Linked DNA regions of Oryctolagus cuniculus. The protein of the gene in region 3 interacts with the protein of the main gene of each other region in a biochemical or structural test. Links are inferred from orthologs where the notes say so. Each region holds a gene or a part of one and is shown on either strand. Other genes may lie near its edges.

Evidence for each region.
Region 1: of the proteins of histone H2B type 2-E (region 3) and RNF40, one has a biochemical effect on the other in vitro, tested with the Homo sapiens proteins (2 studies listed by BioGRID). The link is inferred for Oryctolagus cuniculus from reciprocal best matches to the Homo sapiens genes H2BC21 and RNF40.
Region 2: of the proteins of histone H2B type 2-E (region 3) and KAT2A, one has a biochemical effect on the other in vitro, tested with the Homo sapiens proteins (2 studies listed by BioGRID). The link is inferred for Oryctolagus cuniculus from reciprocal best matches to the Homo sapiens genes H2BC21 and KAT2A.
Region 4: of the proteins of histone H2B type 2-E (region 3) and STK4, one has a biochemical effect on the other in vitro, tested with the Homo sapiens proteins (2 studies listed by BioGRID). The link is inferred for Oryctolagus cuniculus from reciprocal best matches to the Homo sapiens genes H2BC21 and STK4.

Annotation. Positions count from the first base shown.
Region 1 is NC_091450.1:6,344,909-6,348,469, forward strand, and holds part of RNF40 (E3 ubiquitin-protein ligase BRE1B), read right to left. Parts: intron 3,537-3,561; coding exon 3,411-3,536; intron 2,545-3,410; coding exon 2,404-2,544; intron 2,308-2,403; coding exon 2,206-2,307; intron 1-2,205.
Region 2 is NC_091448.1:20,670,709-20,674,986, forward strand, and holds the start of KAT2A (histone acetyltransferase KAT2A), read left to right. Parts: upstream 1-1,437; 5' UTR 1,438-1,502; coding exon 1,503-1,841; intron 1,842-1,981; coding exon 1,982-2,105; intron 2,106-2,358; coding exon 2,359-2,504; intron 2,505-2,591; coding exon 2,592-2,681; intron 2,682-2,864; coding exon 2,865-3,046; intron 3,047-3,126; coding exon 3,127-3,318; intron 3,319-4,196; coding exon 4,197-4,278. Other genes in the region: HSPB9 (heat shock protein beta-9), read right to left, coding at 1-441. UniProt on the Homo sapiens protein: Protein lysine acyltransferase that can act as a acetyltransferase, glutaryltransferase, succinyltransferase or malonyltransferase, depending on the context.
Region 3 is NC_091438.1:48,065,050-48,068,846, reverse strand, and holds histone H2B type 2-E, read right to left. Parts: upstream 2,616-3,797; 5' UTR 2,562-2,615; coding exon 2,181-2,561; 3' UTR 512-2,180; downstream 1-511. Other genes in the region: histone H2A type 2-C, read left to right, coding at 2,896-3,285; histone H2A type 2-B, read right to left, coding at 3,446-3,797. UniProt on the Homo sapiens protein: Core component of nucleosome. Nucleosomes wrap and compact DNA into chromatin, limiting DNA accessibility to the cellular machineries which require DNA as a template.
Region 4 is NC_091442.1:14,181,754-14,185,314, forward strand, and holds part of STK4 (serine/threonine-protein kinase 4), read right to left. Parts: intron 3,087-3,561; coding exon 2,972-3,086; intron 1-2,971. UniProt on the Homo sapiens protein: Stress-activated, pro-apoptotic kinase which, following caspase-cleavage, enters the nucleus and induces chromatin condensation followed by internucleosomal DNA fragmentation.

The DNA.
Region 1 (3,561 bases), on a different chromosome or scaffold from region 3:
AACCTGGGCAGTGACGGCTGTCCGGCGTGCCATCTCAAGGACAAGGGCGCAGCCTGGACTCCCCCGCTCTGGGGCACCCTCCCTGGCCCCATCCTGGCCTGCTTCTTTGCTGGACCTGCTCCCCCTCGCAGGTGAACGCGGCAGGGCCACTGGAAGTCTGCGATCTCCGCCCTCTCGGGCACGGCCCGGTGCGGCCCACAACCCCTGCCGCGTCTCCGGCCCGAGATCTGCCCCTGCCACCAGCAGGGTCTTTCCTGCCGCAGCTGCAGACAGCAGTCGCTTCAACTCCGCATCACCCAAGTCCACCCTGTGCCCTGCTTGGAATCCCAGCCCCGGCCACTGCCTCCGCACCCTCCCCAGCGGCACGTTTCCACCTCTCGGGGGGCCCCTGGCTGCCCGCTGCCACCTCCGCCTCTTCCAGGCCGCCTCAAAGGGCAGTCGGATCCCCGACGGGGCACCCCCCACTCCAGGGGCCTGCCCCTCTCCCTTTCACCCCTGCTCCAGCACCGCCCTCCCGCGGCTCAGTTCCTTCACCTTCACCCCCATCGGCTCCCTCAGTATCTCTCATCCCTCCCAGCCCACAGGCCTCCCTCCCTCCACCCATCACGTAAGATTTGAGGTTCCTAAGAAGAGGGGGCCCTCCTTGTGGCTCCCAGCTGACAGCCCGCACCCCTACGCTGCTCAGCATCCCTCGGCACTGCCCATCAGAGCCTGCTCCTCCCCAGTCCAGTCAGGAAGCAGGAGTTTTCCTCAGTGTTCTCCTGCTCAGCCCACGCACTCCATACGTCCCTGTGTCCAAATGATCTGCCTCTAAAAGCCTCCTGAACGCAGCGCGAAAGCATTTCAAAAAGGTGGTGGAGGACAGGCAGTCAGTGGGGGAGAGGCCTGCAGCCCGCACTGGGCTCTGCGCTCTGCTCCTGGATCCCAGCAGCCTGCAATGCACACCCTGGCGGGCAGCAGTGACGGCTCAAGTCCTTGGGTGCGCGCCCCCCAAGGGGGAGGCCAGGCCTGTGTTTCGGCTTCTGTTCCAGCCAAGCCCTGGCTGCGGTGGCCTCTGGGAGGCAATCAGTGACAAGGAGCTCCCCTGCTCTGTCTGCTTTTCATTGAAATAACAATTGTAATTCTTTTTTTAGTTTGTGGCAAAATGGATTAAAAGACAAGTTTATTTTAGAGAGAATTATTGAAATCCATGCAGTTTCTTCCTATGTACTTTCTTTTAAATGGAAAATGGATTTCAAAAATTTTTCCACCAAAATTTCTTTTAACTCCACTTTCCATTACCTTTTTCTTTTAAATTTATTTATTTAAAAGTCAGTTACAACCACTGGTCCACTTCCCAAGATGGCTGCAACAGCCAGGGCTGAGCCAGGCCAAAGCCAGGAGCTTCATCTGGGTCTCCCAATGGGTGCAGGGCCCCAAGCACTTGGGCCATCTTCTGCAGCTTTTCCCAGGCCACAGCAGAGAGCTGGATCGCAAGTGGAGCAGCCGGAATGAACTGGTGCCCACATGGGATGCAGCACTGCCGAGGGCGGGCGGCTTTACCTGCTAAGGCCACAGCACGGGCCCCTCTCCTCATCTCAGTACTTAAGCTGACTCTCAGGTTTCGCTCCAATGACTGCAGACGCCCAACACTTACCCTGCCTCAGCCTTCACCTGCCCCAGCCCCAGCCCACTCCACTCCAACTCCTGCTTAAAATCCGACGTCTCCACACTCAGCTGCTTGAGCGGGCTCGCCACACCTGCAGGTTCTGCAGCTCTGCGGCCCCCACACGCTCGCCTCCAGCTGCGAGCCGCAAGCCCAGCCCTGCTGTCCAGCACCTCCTCCCAACCTGCCCTCCCCCACCCCACGCCCTGCACCTGCCTTTCCCTCTGCCTGAGCCCTCTCATGCCCACTCCTCAGCGCCAACCCTGATCCACTCTGCAGGCCGCCTTGGGTGACACCCCTACCCGGGAGCCCGAGTTCCCCAGAGGCCATCGATGGCATCAGTCCTCCCCGAGAGCACAGAGGTACCGAGGGGTTACCCGTCAGTTTCAGCCCTGCCGGCCTGCACCTGGCCAGGCCCGTGAGCCATGGCCAACGCTCAGCCGGCTCTCCGGTCACCTTCCCAGGTGCTGCTGCCCCGCCTCAATCCCAAGGGCCCCTCTCATCAGCCTCTCATCTGCAACTGCTGGGTTGGCGGGCACGACTCAGCCCCGCGGCCCCACCTTGTACTCCTTGATCTCCTCCTGCAGGATCTCGTCGGCGTCCGCGTAAACCTCCACCTTCCGCTGCTTCTCCAGCTTGCGCCGCAGCCGGGAGATGTCCTCCTGGGGCAGGAGAGGGGCCGGGCTCAGTGCAGGAGTCCTCGGGCCCGCAGGTGCCCACACCCACACCCACGCCCACGCCCTCCCGGACACACGCACCTGAGCCCTCTTGAGGTTGAAGCTCTCCTTCTCGCGGGCAGCCCGGCTCTCCGCCAGGCAGGGCTGGATCTCCCGCAGCCGAGTCTGCACGTGCTCCAGCTGTACCTTCAGGTCCTCGGCCAGCTGGGCCGCTTCCACAGCCTGAGGTGGGCGGGACAAGGAGGGGCACGTGGAGCCGCCGTCCACCCGAGCCTGCGTCGGACGTCCCAGCGCCGTCTATGCCGGAGCCGGTCCTGCCTTCCCGATCCTCTGGCCCTCGCCTCCTACGCTCTGATCCGCAGCTCCTGCCAGCATGGCGATCTCGCTCTTCTCTCTGCTCCCCTCAACACACACACACGGCACTCCCGCAGGTCTCTGCTCCAGTGGCACGTCCCGACAAACCCAGATTTCCCTTGCCCCACACCCGAGTTTCCTTCTTAAGACCAACTGTGACCTGCCGCACCGTTATTTATCTGTGGGATTATTGCCCTCAAGACGCGGTTCCAGGCCTGCCTGGAAGGCAGAGACCCTCTTGTGCCCACCGCTTTCACAGGGACCAGCCCAAGGCCTGCACATCACAGGGACGTAAGAAATACTGCAATACTGCTTACGTGAATGGATTCACTGGAGAAGAATACAACAGACAGGAAGAGGAAGATTTAAACCAGTATTACTCTAAAGACGTGAGCACGGACTAGATCTTTCGTATGTTGCAGCCAACCCACGAGTGCTCAGGACGTGGGCTCTGGAGCCATGGGGACCTGGGCCTCCTGGCTTCACTTTCTTTTTTTTTGAGCAAGTCTGCTGACCCCTCTACACCTGTCTGTCCGATTCGGAAACGTGGACAGCACCACGCACATCTTGGTAGGATTCTTAGGCTGAGACTAGCACGTGACCAGCGGGTCAGGCGGGGCAGGCTCGGCATCCAGGCGAGGCGAGGCAGCACAGGGCTCCCCGGGCCATTCCCGGCGGCTTCTCCGTACACACCCAGGGGAGGCTGGGAGCCGGCGGCCGGGGCCCAGCCTCACCTTCCGCTTGTTGAGCTCCAGGGCCTGGCTGCGCAGCGTCAGCTCCTTCTCCACGCCGCCGAGGCTGCCCTGCAGGGCCCGCTCCTTCTCCTCCAGCTTCTGCACGGTCAGCAGCTGCGCGTCCACCTGCGGACGGGGCAGGCCTCAGGGC
Region 2 (4,278 bases), on a different chromosome or scaffold from region 3:
TCTTGGGGATGGTCCTGCTTGGGCTTCGGGGGGAGGCAGCGGCCCGCACTGGCCTCGGACCCACAGCTGGCCGGATGGCGTCAGGCAGCAGGTCATGGCGGTGGGATCTAGGTCCGGCGGTAGCTGCATTTGCCGCTGCACCCTCTGCTCCATGCGGTAACCACCCAGTCCCGGGTTGCCGTACTCCCACTGCCGCTGGCCGGTCACCGTCAGGTTCTGCCCAGTCACCTGCACCACCAGCTCCTCGGGGGCGAAGCCCTGCGCGTCCATCTTCATTTGGAAATCGTCTGCGGCCCGGCCATGGTCCTGCACAGCGGCCGGGTGGTCCCTCAGCAGCTGCACCGGCAGTGTGGCCACCTGATTGCGTTCAGCGAGGGCCACACTGGGACTCCTCGACGCCACCTGGTTCCCGTTGGAGAAACTGCTGCCGACCCGCTGCATCCAAGTGAGCAACTGCTCTTCAGGGGCACGAGGCTCCGAACGCAAGGCCCGAGCTCGGCCAGGCGTGTGGACTCCAAGGAAACGGGAGCGGGGTCCTCACGAGGCCCCGCGCGGCTCCCCCGGGTCGGGTTGGGTCGGGTCGGGTCAGGCGGGGGCAGCTCATTCCCTTTGACTTCCGCAAACTTCGGCTGGGTCCGGGGTCAGCTCTGCCCGTCCTGCCTCCAGGAGCGGGCTGTCAGTTGCTCAGGAGCACCCGCTATACTTTTACCCTGGCCCTGCCCTTTCTCCACCACGGCACAATGGAGCCACTGAAGAGGCTGGACGCCGGGAGCAGACACTCGGCAGCCACCGACCGGCCAGGGGCAGGGAAGCCCATTGCTGGCAGAGACAGCGGGCGGGGTCCTCCAGGTCCTCCATCGCGGCGTGCCCTGCTTCTCCCTGAGCACACGCACGAGGGAGGCGGGCACATCCCTCCCTGTCCTCGGGGTCTGGGGCCACAAAGATGATGGCGCGGGCATCCCGCGTCCCAGTGGTTTTCCTTGTCGCTGCTGCGACCACAGCCGCGCCCCTGGAACTCTGTGTTTTGATACTAAATTCTCTCCGTTGAAGGATAACAAAGTGCACAACGCAGTACAGGTGGATGGTACACAGCGCACGCCCGGGGTAGCCACCGAAGCTCAGAGCTTCGGCCACGTCTCAGCCCCTGTGCGGCTGCAGCCCCGCGTCTGGGCCTCACGGGATGGGGCCTCGGCCCCCGTGGGGGGCGCCTATTTCCTGGGATGCACCTCCCTGTCCCTAAGACGGCAGCAACCGGAGCCGTCCCGGACGCCTTCCAGATAAATTGGGAGCCAGGAAGTCTGGGGTGCTAGCTGGGGCTCCCCTTGGCTGCCTGGTACCAAGAGAAAGGACGGAAAAGTCTGGAAGCTGGAGGCCAGGGGCGCGGCGGTGGAAGACTACAACTCCCGTCGTGCGTCGGGCCTGTGGCGCCTGCGCACTGCGCACCGGTTGCCCATGCGGCCCTAGGGCTGGGAGCGCGGCGCCGCTCCGCTGCGGGGGAGGCCATGGCGGAACCTTCTCAGGCCCCGGCCCCAGTCCCGGCTGCGCAGCCCCGGCCCCTTCAGTCCCCAGCCCCTACCCCAACTCCTACTCCTGCGCCCAGCCCTGCTTCAGCCCCGACTCCGGCTCCCACTCCGGCACCAGCCCCCGCCCCGGCTGCAGCCCCAGCCGGGAGCACAGGGACTGGAGGGCCCGGGGTAGGAAGTGGGGGAACCGGCAGCGGGGGGGATCCGGCGCGACCTGGCCTGAGCCAGCAGCAGCGCGCCAGCCAGAGGAAGGCGCAAGTCCGGGGACTGCCGCGCGCCAAGAAGCTTGAGAAGCTAGGGGTCTTCTCCGCTTGCAAGGTGGGGGCGGGGCCTAGGGTGAAAGGGGCGGGGCTTGAGGGCATCCCTGGGCTCGGGTGGGAATGGGGGGCGACGCTCTGGACGCTTAGCGGCCCCTGCCCCTGGGGTGCGGGGGTCGTTGACTTATCTCCTGCCTCCAGGCCAATGAAACCTGCAAATGTAATGGCTGGAAAAACCCCAAGCCCCCTACTGCTCCCCGCATGGACCTGCAGCAGCCTGCTGCCAACCTGAGCGAGCTGTGCCGCAGCTGTGAGCACCCCTTGGGTAAGGCAGGCAGCGCCCTTGCAGGTGGTGGGCGCCAGGTGCTGGGGCCTGCTTGGACAGCCTGATTTCGCTGCCAGGAAACCTCGTCTCAGGACCTTAGGAGGTGTGGGGTTGGGGGCAGGCAGGCCGAGAGGGAGGAGAAAGGGAAAGTGCCAGCCGGGAAGATGCGGGGCCACCTTTGGAAGTCTTGGCTCCCTGCCGAGCAGGGCGTCCATGCCTCCCCACCCCGCGGCCCGGGCTGGCTGTCTTGCAGCTGACCACGTGTCCCACCTGGAGAATGTGTCAGAGGATGAGATCAACCGGCTGCTGGGGATGGTGGTGGATGTGGAGAATCTGTTCATGTCGGTGCACAAGGAGGAGGACACGGACACCAAACAGGTCTACTTCTACCTCTTCAAGGTGAGCTTCCGCGAACGGGCGTGAGTGGGGGGCAGGGGGGCTCTCAGTTCTGATGCTCCCTCCCTCCCTCCCTCCCTCTTCCTGCAGCTCCTGCGCAAATGCATCCTGCAGATGACCCGGCCTGTGGTGGAGGGGTCCCTGGGCAGCCCCCCGTTTGAGAAGCCTAATATTGAGCAGGTGGGGTGGGGCACGGGGAGCTGGGTCCTCCCTCCTGCTCTAGCTGAAAATCAGAGGGGATCAGCCGGGGGCGTGTGTTCTGTGCTGACTGCAGAGTGGGGTGGAGGAGGGGGGGCACTTTGTCACGAAGCTGGCTTCTTAGCCCTCCTCCCTGGATTTGTTCCCCACCCCACCCCTTCCCAGGGTGTGCTGAACTTCGTGCAGTACAAGTTTAGCCACCTGGCTCCCCGGGAGCGACAGACCATGTTCGAACTCTCCAAGATGTTCCTGCTTTGCCTTAACTACTGGAAGCTGGAGACGCCCGCCCAGTTCCGGCAAAGGTCCCAGTCGGAGGATGTGGCTACCTACAAGGTCAATTACACCAGGTAGGCCCTGCCCGGGCGGGGGCTGGGGGGGGATTTGTAGACCTCCCCATGTGCTCTCACCCTGCTGTCCCCACCCCCAGGTGGCTGTGTTACTGTCACGTGCCCCAGAGCTGCGACAGCCTGCCTCGCTACGAGACCACTCACGTGTTCGGGCGAAGCCTCCTCCGGTCCATTTTCACTGTTACCCGGCGGCAGCTGCTGGAGAAGTTCCGAGTGGAGAAAGACAAGCTGGTGCCGGAGAAGAGGACCCTCATCCTCACCCACTTCCCCAAGTAAGGCTCGTTCCGGCCCACTGCGAGTTTGCCCCAAGTTCACGTCCTCCCTGTTGTCCCCTTTTTTCCAGGAAGCCTTCCTGGATTGGTCCCTCCTCTCCCTCCATGGGCCTTCTGGGATCTGGGCGTCTACCTGGCAGACTTGCCCATGGCCCAGAAGCAGCTTGCTAGTAGTTGCCTTTGCACGGCCTAGTCTGGGGATGGCAGGTACATGGCCCCGGCTAACGCTGCCCCTCCCACACCCTGCTAGGCGTTACTAATTGTTTCCCATGGGGGCCTGGACCCAGCCTCAGAATCCCTCCCACCACAGAGCTCCAAGAAGCCAGCGCTGACACCTGAGGTGACAGCAGTGTCCGCCCCGCGCTAGTCCTTTCTGTGCCAGTGTCCCCCCGTGTGCCACACCTCTCTCCCATCTTAAGCCTGGCTCGTGACTTCTCTGTTCAGAGAGCCTTGGCTGTCAAATCCGGGCCCCTGAGTGCCCCTGCCACCAGGTGGGAACAGGAGGTGGTGAGTTGGGGTGGATTCCTAGTCATCTTGATGCTGCGGGGAGCAGGGGGACCCAGGGGGACGTGGTGCCCTGCCTGGCTACGGGGTTGGTATTTAGCTCGGGCCCTGTGGCCCTGTGCTGCCCGAGATGGCCAAACTGGGCCCCTTTGCTTGGTGTGTCCGAAGCTCTCACCTTGCATTCGAGGCTCCCGGGAGCCAGGGGGCCGTGCCTGCCCCTGTGGCCAGGGCTTCCCGCAGGGCAGAGCTTGCTCTCAGACGCGCCTCGCAGGGTCTGTCTCTGGCCACGGCACAGCCGCAGCCCCCCGGGGGCCCGGCCCAGGCCGCCTTTGGCGGGAGGGCGGAGTCGTGGACAGACGGCGCCCTCCCCCCAGGTTCCTGTCCATGCTGGAGGAGGAGATCTACGGGGCCAACTCGCCCATCTGGGAGTCGGGCTTCACCATGCCGCCCTCAGAG
Region 3 (3,797 bases):
TTATTTTAAAGCACAGCTATTTCCCCCCTAATCCAGGGAGGAGTCCAGGTTCTCAGAGAGCAGCCCTGCTTTCTTACATCCTTTTAGCACTAAACAAGGAGCTTTTTCTCTGGTGAGTTTCTGAGGAAAGGCCGCTCTGTGGCTCAGTTTCCCTCCCTGTCCAGTGGGAGATGACAAGTCTACCTACTTTAGGAGGCTCTTGTGAGAATGAGAGAATGTTGTGCATGAATCGGGAACACATGTTAAGTGTCTGTCGGTGTTAGCCCACCTTGGTTAAGGACTGTATGTCTTCCACGTTGTTTGTAGTGCTTCTTCTTCATGCTCACGTATTTTGCAAGGACTGCGGAAAGCCTTGTGACAGCCTGGTTCAGCCCCATTGCCCATCTGGGGTAAAAGTTTAGCTGACGGCTTCTAAATATTCCTTCTCCACCCTTTCCACACATGTACCCAGTGGTGACTGTCCCTGTCAATTTCACTTCATATATGGCCGATAAAAGGATATAGCAAAGCCTTAAAATGAGTTGGGCACTTTATTAATAACAGCATCTACACAGATTTGAAAGCACACGCGCAGCAGGCTCAAGATCTCAGCCTATGATTTGCTATGTGGAGCACATCTGGGTTCACAAAACCCTTGCAATCAACTCCAGGAGCCCTGAGCAGAGTCCAGTTACTGAGCACTCAGGACCTCCCCTGGCACCATCAAGGCTCGGACAGGAAGATTCGGTATTGCGTAATTGCATCAGATACGACCAAAATACACCTGTGATCACATCGCAGAAGACAAAAGCAGCGCTCGCTGTGTGAGGGATATTGCAGCTCTGTCTGCTCTGCTTGTTAGGGCCTCCTGAAAAAGCAGCCGGGTTGGTGGGGATGAACTGAAAGCTCCTCCCAGTGTGAACAGAGGGTGAAGGCTCTTCTCGCTGACCACTGCTCTCAATTGAACGGAAACCTAAAACGGGTCACCCTAAAGCGGGGAGCCTGCGGGGAAGACCCGCTACTGCCGCCTCCTCCCGATGCAAAAAAAAAAAAAAATCTTGGCACCAGGCCTCCCCCCACCCCTCACCCGCCCCAAAGCAGTTGCACCGAGGTGATTAACGACATATTTGGTCAAGGAGCTACAAAAACATTTCCATCTTCATCGTATCTTCACATCTGATGGAAATAAACAGCGCCCACCCCCCACCCACGGAAGCGATTACGAAATTGGCGGGATAGAAAAACGAATCCGTCGATATCGGTTCAAGCCGTTTGTGTCCGCTACGTGCCAGGCACTGATGGGCGCTGAAGATACGGAGGAAAAGCAGGCCAGCAGGGCCTTTGTCCCGGTTTGAAGAAAGACCATTAACGAGAAAGCAAATGAGCCAGCGAATTTCAGCCAGCTGCGTGGACGAAGATGAAAACACACAACAGACAGGGCCAAAGGGCAGGCTCCTGAGCGGATGCCGCTGGCAGCGGTTCTTAATCCCCGAGCTAAACCACCCGTGTCTTGCAGTGACCTGGGGCAGGCTTCCCAGCACAGAGCATTAAATGCAAAAATCATTTACGGACTTAAGGAATCCTAGGACTCTCCAAGCTACAACGTCAGAGGCGGAAAACAAAGTCTTTAAGAATTCTCGAGTGGCGCGAATTTTGAATATTCATGCCGCCCAATCAGGAAAAGTCTGACCCTCAGCGGCGCGGGCTCCGCCCCAGAGCACAGCACCGGTCACCCGCAGGCCCGCAGGCCCGCAGGCCGAGCCCTCCCCGCGCCGAGCTGGCCACCCCGCCGCTTCCGGTGCTAAGCTGCTGCTGTACACAGCGGCCGCCGGACGCGCCTACTTGTGTCCTGCAGTCTTCCTAAACCAATAGCTGCAATCAGCCACTCGAGTTTAAGACGGCCCAGCGTGTGTAACAAAGCCGCCCGGCCACTGCCGCAACGCAGAGGGGTAGGGGCGGGCCATCGCCGCTGTTAGGAGTGAAGACGCACTTGGCACTCAACGCAAGTCCAATCACGCGCCGGGAACCTCGGGGTCGGAACGTCTTAGAGAATGCCAAGTACTCCACCCCCACTACGTCTGGGCTGCAGTAACTTACTTGTGCGAAGGGACTAAGGGGGGACGTTATGTGAACACGGCTCTTTCCCGATCAGATGGGTGGCTCTGAAAAGAGCCTTTGTGGGTTAGCGGCACGGCAGGGCCTCACTTGGAGCTGGTGTACTTGGTGACAGCCTTGGTGCCCTCGGACACGGCGTGCTTGGCCAGCTCGCCGGGCAGAAGCAGGCGCACGGCCGTCTGGATCTCCCGGGACGTGATGGTCGAGCGCTTGTTGTAGTGCGCCAGGCGCGACGCCTCGCCGGCGATGCGCTCGAAGATGTCGTTGACGAACGAGTTCATGATGCCCATGGCCTTGGACGAGATGCCGGTGTCGGGGTGCACTTGCTTGAGCACCTTGTACACGTAGATGGAGTAGCTCTCCTTGCGGCTGCGCTTGCGCTTCTTGCCGTCTTTCTTCTGCGCCTTGGTGACAGCTTTCTTGGAGCCCTTCTTGGGCGCGGGCGCGGACTTGGCTGGCTCGGGCATGGTAAACACCACACCAACGCGATACAGCGGGGAAAAGGAATAAGAGGATGGGCGGGCCTGATCCTCTTATAACCATCTTATGCAAATTAGGAATCAAAATGGCTTTCGTTTCCATTGGTCCGTGCAGGAAAGTTGCGTTTTCGGTAAAAGCCTGCGTAATGACAACAGCTCGACTTTATTGGCTGTTTCTGAAGCCATATTAGGACCAATGAAAAGCTCGTTCCTGACCCCACCCCCAGGGAAGCTTATAAAGGCTTTCTTCGTGGGTTCCTTTCAATCTTGTTTTGTTGCGAGGTTCTGCGCCCTAGCTGGGTTTGGTTTCTTTTTCTTAACTATGTCTGGTCGTGGCAAGCAAGGAGGCAAGGCGCGCGCCAAGGCCAAGTCGCGGTCGTCGCGCGCCGGGCTGCAGTTCCCCGTGGGCCGGGTGCACCGGCTGCTGCGCAAGGGCAACTACGCCGAGCGCGTCGGCGCCGGCGCGCCCGTCTACATGGCGGCCGTGCTCGAGTACCTGACGGCCGAGATCCTGGAGCTGGCGGGCAACGCGGCGCGCGACAACAAGAAGACGCGCATCATCCCGCGCCACCTGCAGCTGGCCATCCGCAACGACGAGGAGCTCAACAAGCTGCTGGGCAAGGTGACGATCGCGCAGGGCGGCGTGCTGCCCAACATCCAGGCTGTGCTGCTGCCAAAGAAAACCGAAAGCCACAAAGCCAAAAGCAAATAAATTTGACGACCTGAACCAAAGACCAAAGGCTCTTTTTAGAGCCACCCAAGTTGTCAAAGAAAGAGCTAACGCGCTGCTTGTTATCAGCCCTCCGCTTGACACTGTGGTGGCTCTTAAAAGAGCCTTTTGGGTGGACGGGAGTGGTGTCACGCCTAATCAATCACTTGCTCTTGCCAGGCTTGTGGCTCTCCGTCTTCTTGGGCAGCAGCACGGCCTGGATGTTGGGCAGCACGCCGCCCTGCGCGATGGTGACACCCCCGAGTAACTTGTTGAGCTCCTCGTCATTTCTCACGGCCAGCTGCAGGTGGCGCGGGATGATGCGCGTCTTCTTGTTGTCGCGCGCCGCGTTGCCCGCCAGCTCCAGGATCTCGGCCGTCAGGTACTCGAGCACGGCCGCCAGGTACACCGGGGCGCCGGCGCCGACGCGCTCGGCGTAGTTGCCCTTGCGCAGCAGCCGGTGCACCCGGCCCACGGGGAACTGCAGCCCGGCGCGCGATGACCGCGACTTGGCC
Region 4 (3,561 bases), on a different chromosome or scaffold from region 3:
GGTTCCACTGTTTCTGCTTTTGACCCTCTATCTTTTCCACATGACAACAATGCTTACTCTTCCCATCCAACTACTAACCAGGCCCGACCCTGCTTAGCTTCCAAGATCAGACAAGATCGGGCGTGTTCAGGGTAGTATGGCCATAGACCGTACTTACTCTTTTAAAACAGAAACCAGATCTGCTCAAAACCTACCAACGGCTTCCTAAATTGCTCAAATAAAAGACCGTTATCACCAAGGCCTTAAGTGACCTAGCTCCAAGCTACCTCTCCAACTTTATTTTCTACCCCATTTATTACATTCAGCCACATAGATGCAGGAGCACAAGGACTTGGGCCATCTTGTACTGCTTTCCCAGGCCATAGCATAGAGCTGGATCAGAAGTGGATTAGCCAGGACTTGAACCAGTATCATATGGGATGCTGACACTGCAGGCAGTGGCTTTACCTGCTATGCCACAGTGCTGGCCCCCAGTTTTTGTCTTAAAGTCTATTTTGTCTGATGGGATGATAGCTACTCTGGCTCATTTTTTACTTCATTTACATGGAGTATCAATTTCAAGTCTTTTGCTTTCAATCTGTGTGTATCTTTGTTGATAAGGGTGTTTCTTGTAGGCAGCATATAGATTGATTTTGTTTTTTAATACATTCAGCCAGTCTGTATCTTTTAATTGGAGAGTTTAGCTCATTTATATTCAAGATTATTATTGATAAGTAATGACTGGGTTATGCCATTTTTCTGTAAATATTCCTTTTGTTTGTTTTGGATCTCCTCTTTGCTATTATTAAGAGGTTTTGTGCCTTTACAGTCTTTCATGATGCTGATTATTTTTCTCTGTTTCTGTTTGTGGTATATCTTTAAGTATCATTTGTAAGTATCACTGAGTGCTGACAAATTATTTCAATTCTGTTTGTCTTGGAAGGTCTTTATTTCACAGAGGAATAACCAAACAGGATGACTTCGAGCTAAGAAGCTTCTGCACAGCAAAAGAATCACTTGACAAAGTGAAGCAGCAACCAACACAGTGGGAGAAAATATTTGCAAACTATGCATTTGCTAAAGGATTAAAATCCAGAATATATAAGGAGCTCAAGAAACTCAACAACAAAACAACCTAGTTAAGAAATGGGCAAAGGACTTGAACAGGCATATTTCTTTTTTTCTTTTTTTAAAGATCTATTTTATTTGTTTGAAAGACAAAGTTACAAAGAGAGGTAGAGACAGAGAGAGAGAGAGAGAGAGAGAGAGAGAGAGAGAGAGGTCCTTATCTGCTGGTTCACCACCCAGATGGCCACAATGGCTAGAGCTGACTAATCCAAAGCCAGGAGCCAGCAGCTTCATCCAGGTCTCCCATGTGGATGCAGGAGCCCAAGCACCTGGGCCATCTTCCACTGCTTTCCCAGGTGCGTTAGCAGGAAACTGGATCAGAAGTAGAGCAGCTAGGACCTGAACTGGTGACCATATGGGATTCCAGCATGGCAAGCTGGGGCTTTAACCCACTGTGTCACAGCATTGTTCCCGAACAGGCATTTTTCTAGGATGAAATACAAAGGGTCAGGGGCTGGTGCTGTGGCACAGCGGGTAAAGCCACCACCTGCAGTGCTGGCACTCCTTGTGGCTGCCAACTCGAGTCCTGGCTACTCCACTTCCGATTCAGCTCTCTGCTATGGCCTGGGAAAGCAACAGAAGATCGCCCAATTCCTGGGGTCCTGCACCCATGTAGGAGACCCAGAAGAAAGTTCCTAGCTCCTGGCTTGGGATTGGCACAGCTCTGGCTGTTGCAGCCATCTGGGAAGTGAACCAGCGGATGGAAGACCCCCCCCCCCTCCTCTGCCTCTCTGTAACTCTGTCTTTCAAATAAATAAATCAATCTTAAAAAAAAAATACAAATGACCAACAAACACATGAAAAAATGCTCAGGATCACTAGCCATCAAAGAAATGCAAATACTAACCATAATGAGGGGCCGGTATTGTAGCATAGCAGGTAAAGCTGCTGCCTGCAATGCCAGCATCCAATATGGGTGCCAGTTCAAGTCCAGCTGCTCCACTTCCAATCCAGCTTCCTAGGAAATGCTAATGCACCTGGGAAAGCAGCAGAAAATGACCTAAATGCATGGGCCTCTGCACCTACATTAGAGACCCAGAAGAAACTCCTGGCTGTCCCAGCTCTGGCCATTGTGGCCATCTGGAGAGTAAACCAGTGGATGGAAGATCTCTTCCTCTCCATCTCTCTCTGTGTAATTCCTTCAAATAAATAAATAAATATTAAAAAAAAAAACAAAAAAAGTAGCCCACCAAGCACTCTCTACCATTTCACTACCTCTTCATCTTATACATTAATCATTTTCTTCACGGTTTTTACCACTACCTGCTATTTCTTTTCTAGTTAACATTAATTTGTTTTCTGTTGGCCTAGTGGAAAGTACACTACTGTAAGAGCAATGTTGTCATCTGTTTTGCTACTGGATCTCTAAGACCTATAGCAGTGTTCTAGAAATATTTACTGAATAAATAAACAGCTTAAGCAATTGAACTGGAATTAGAAATTATGACTTCTAGGTCTTATTCCAGCAAATAATATTACTTATTACACAGTAAGGTAAATAGTCTTTCATAATGGGATTACTCTCTGATTAACAGGAAGCAGAGGCAGTTAACTTGTGAACATGGTAGGTGGATGAAGAAATCCAAACTAAAGTATTTAAAATTCACGCCCTAACTAATATTTCATAGTTTTTTTTTTTCCCAGTAAGAAAAGTATGCTAAAAACCACTGGATTGATCTGGTGTAAAACTGCTACCTTTAGAAGACATGAGAGAGTAATGAGGAAGAAACAACAATAGAAAATAAGAAATTTGACAGTTATTTGTCTAGATACAGTAGCAAGAAAATACACACAAATAAAAGGCTAAAGCAAAAAAATGGTGAAAGAGACTTGCTCAGCTGCAGCTTCTACCAGGTAAACTTACCGTTTTATTTCGTAATCGAATGATATCAGATACAGAGCCAGCTCCACAGTACTCCATAACGATCCATAAGTCTGTGTTCTTAAAATAACTTCCATAATATTTGACTACATGAGGGCTGGAGACAAAGACAATGTAAATTAGTGAAATAGCCTTCAAACATCTCCAGTAATCATATTACTAAATATGTTAAAATTATTTCATCTCAAAAGATCAGTTTTATAGTTGAGCATGGGCAACCTCCTGATAAATGTAAATTATTATCACTTTTCTGGAGACTAATATAAGACAAAAGTACAAACAATGGGGAGATGCTTTAACCAGCATTTAAATCTCCAATTTATCCTCAAAAAAGTAAAAATTTTCAGAAAGAGTTATCTCCATAGTACTGTTAATAAAAATGAAAATTTGGGGCCAGCTAAGCCTCCGCCTGCAGCACCAGCATCCCATATGGATGCTGGTTCGTGCCTCAGCTGTTCCTCTTCCAATCCAGCTCTCTACTTATGGCCTGGGAAAGCAATGGAAGATGGCCCAAGTGCTTGGGCCCCTGCACCCATGGAGGACACCTGGAAGAAACTCCTGCCTTCGAATCG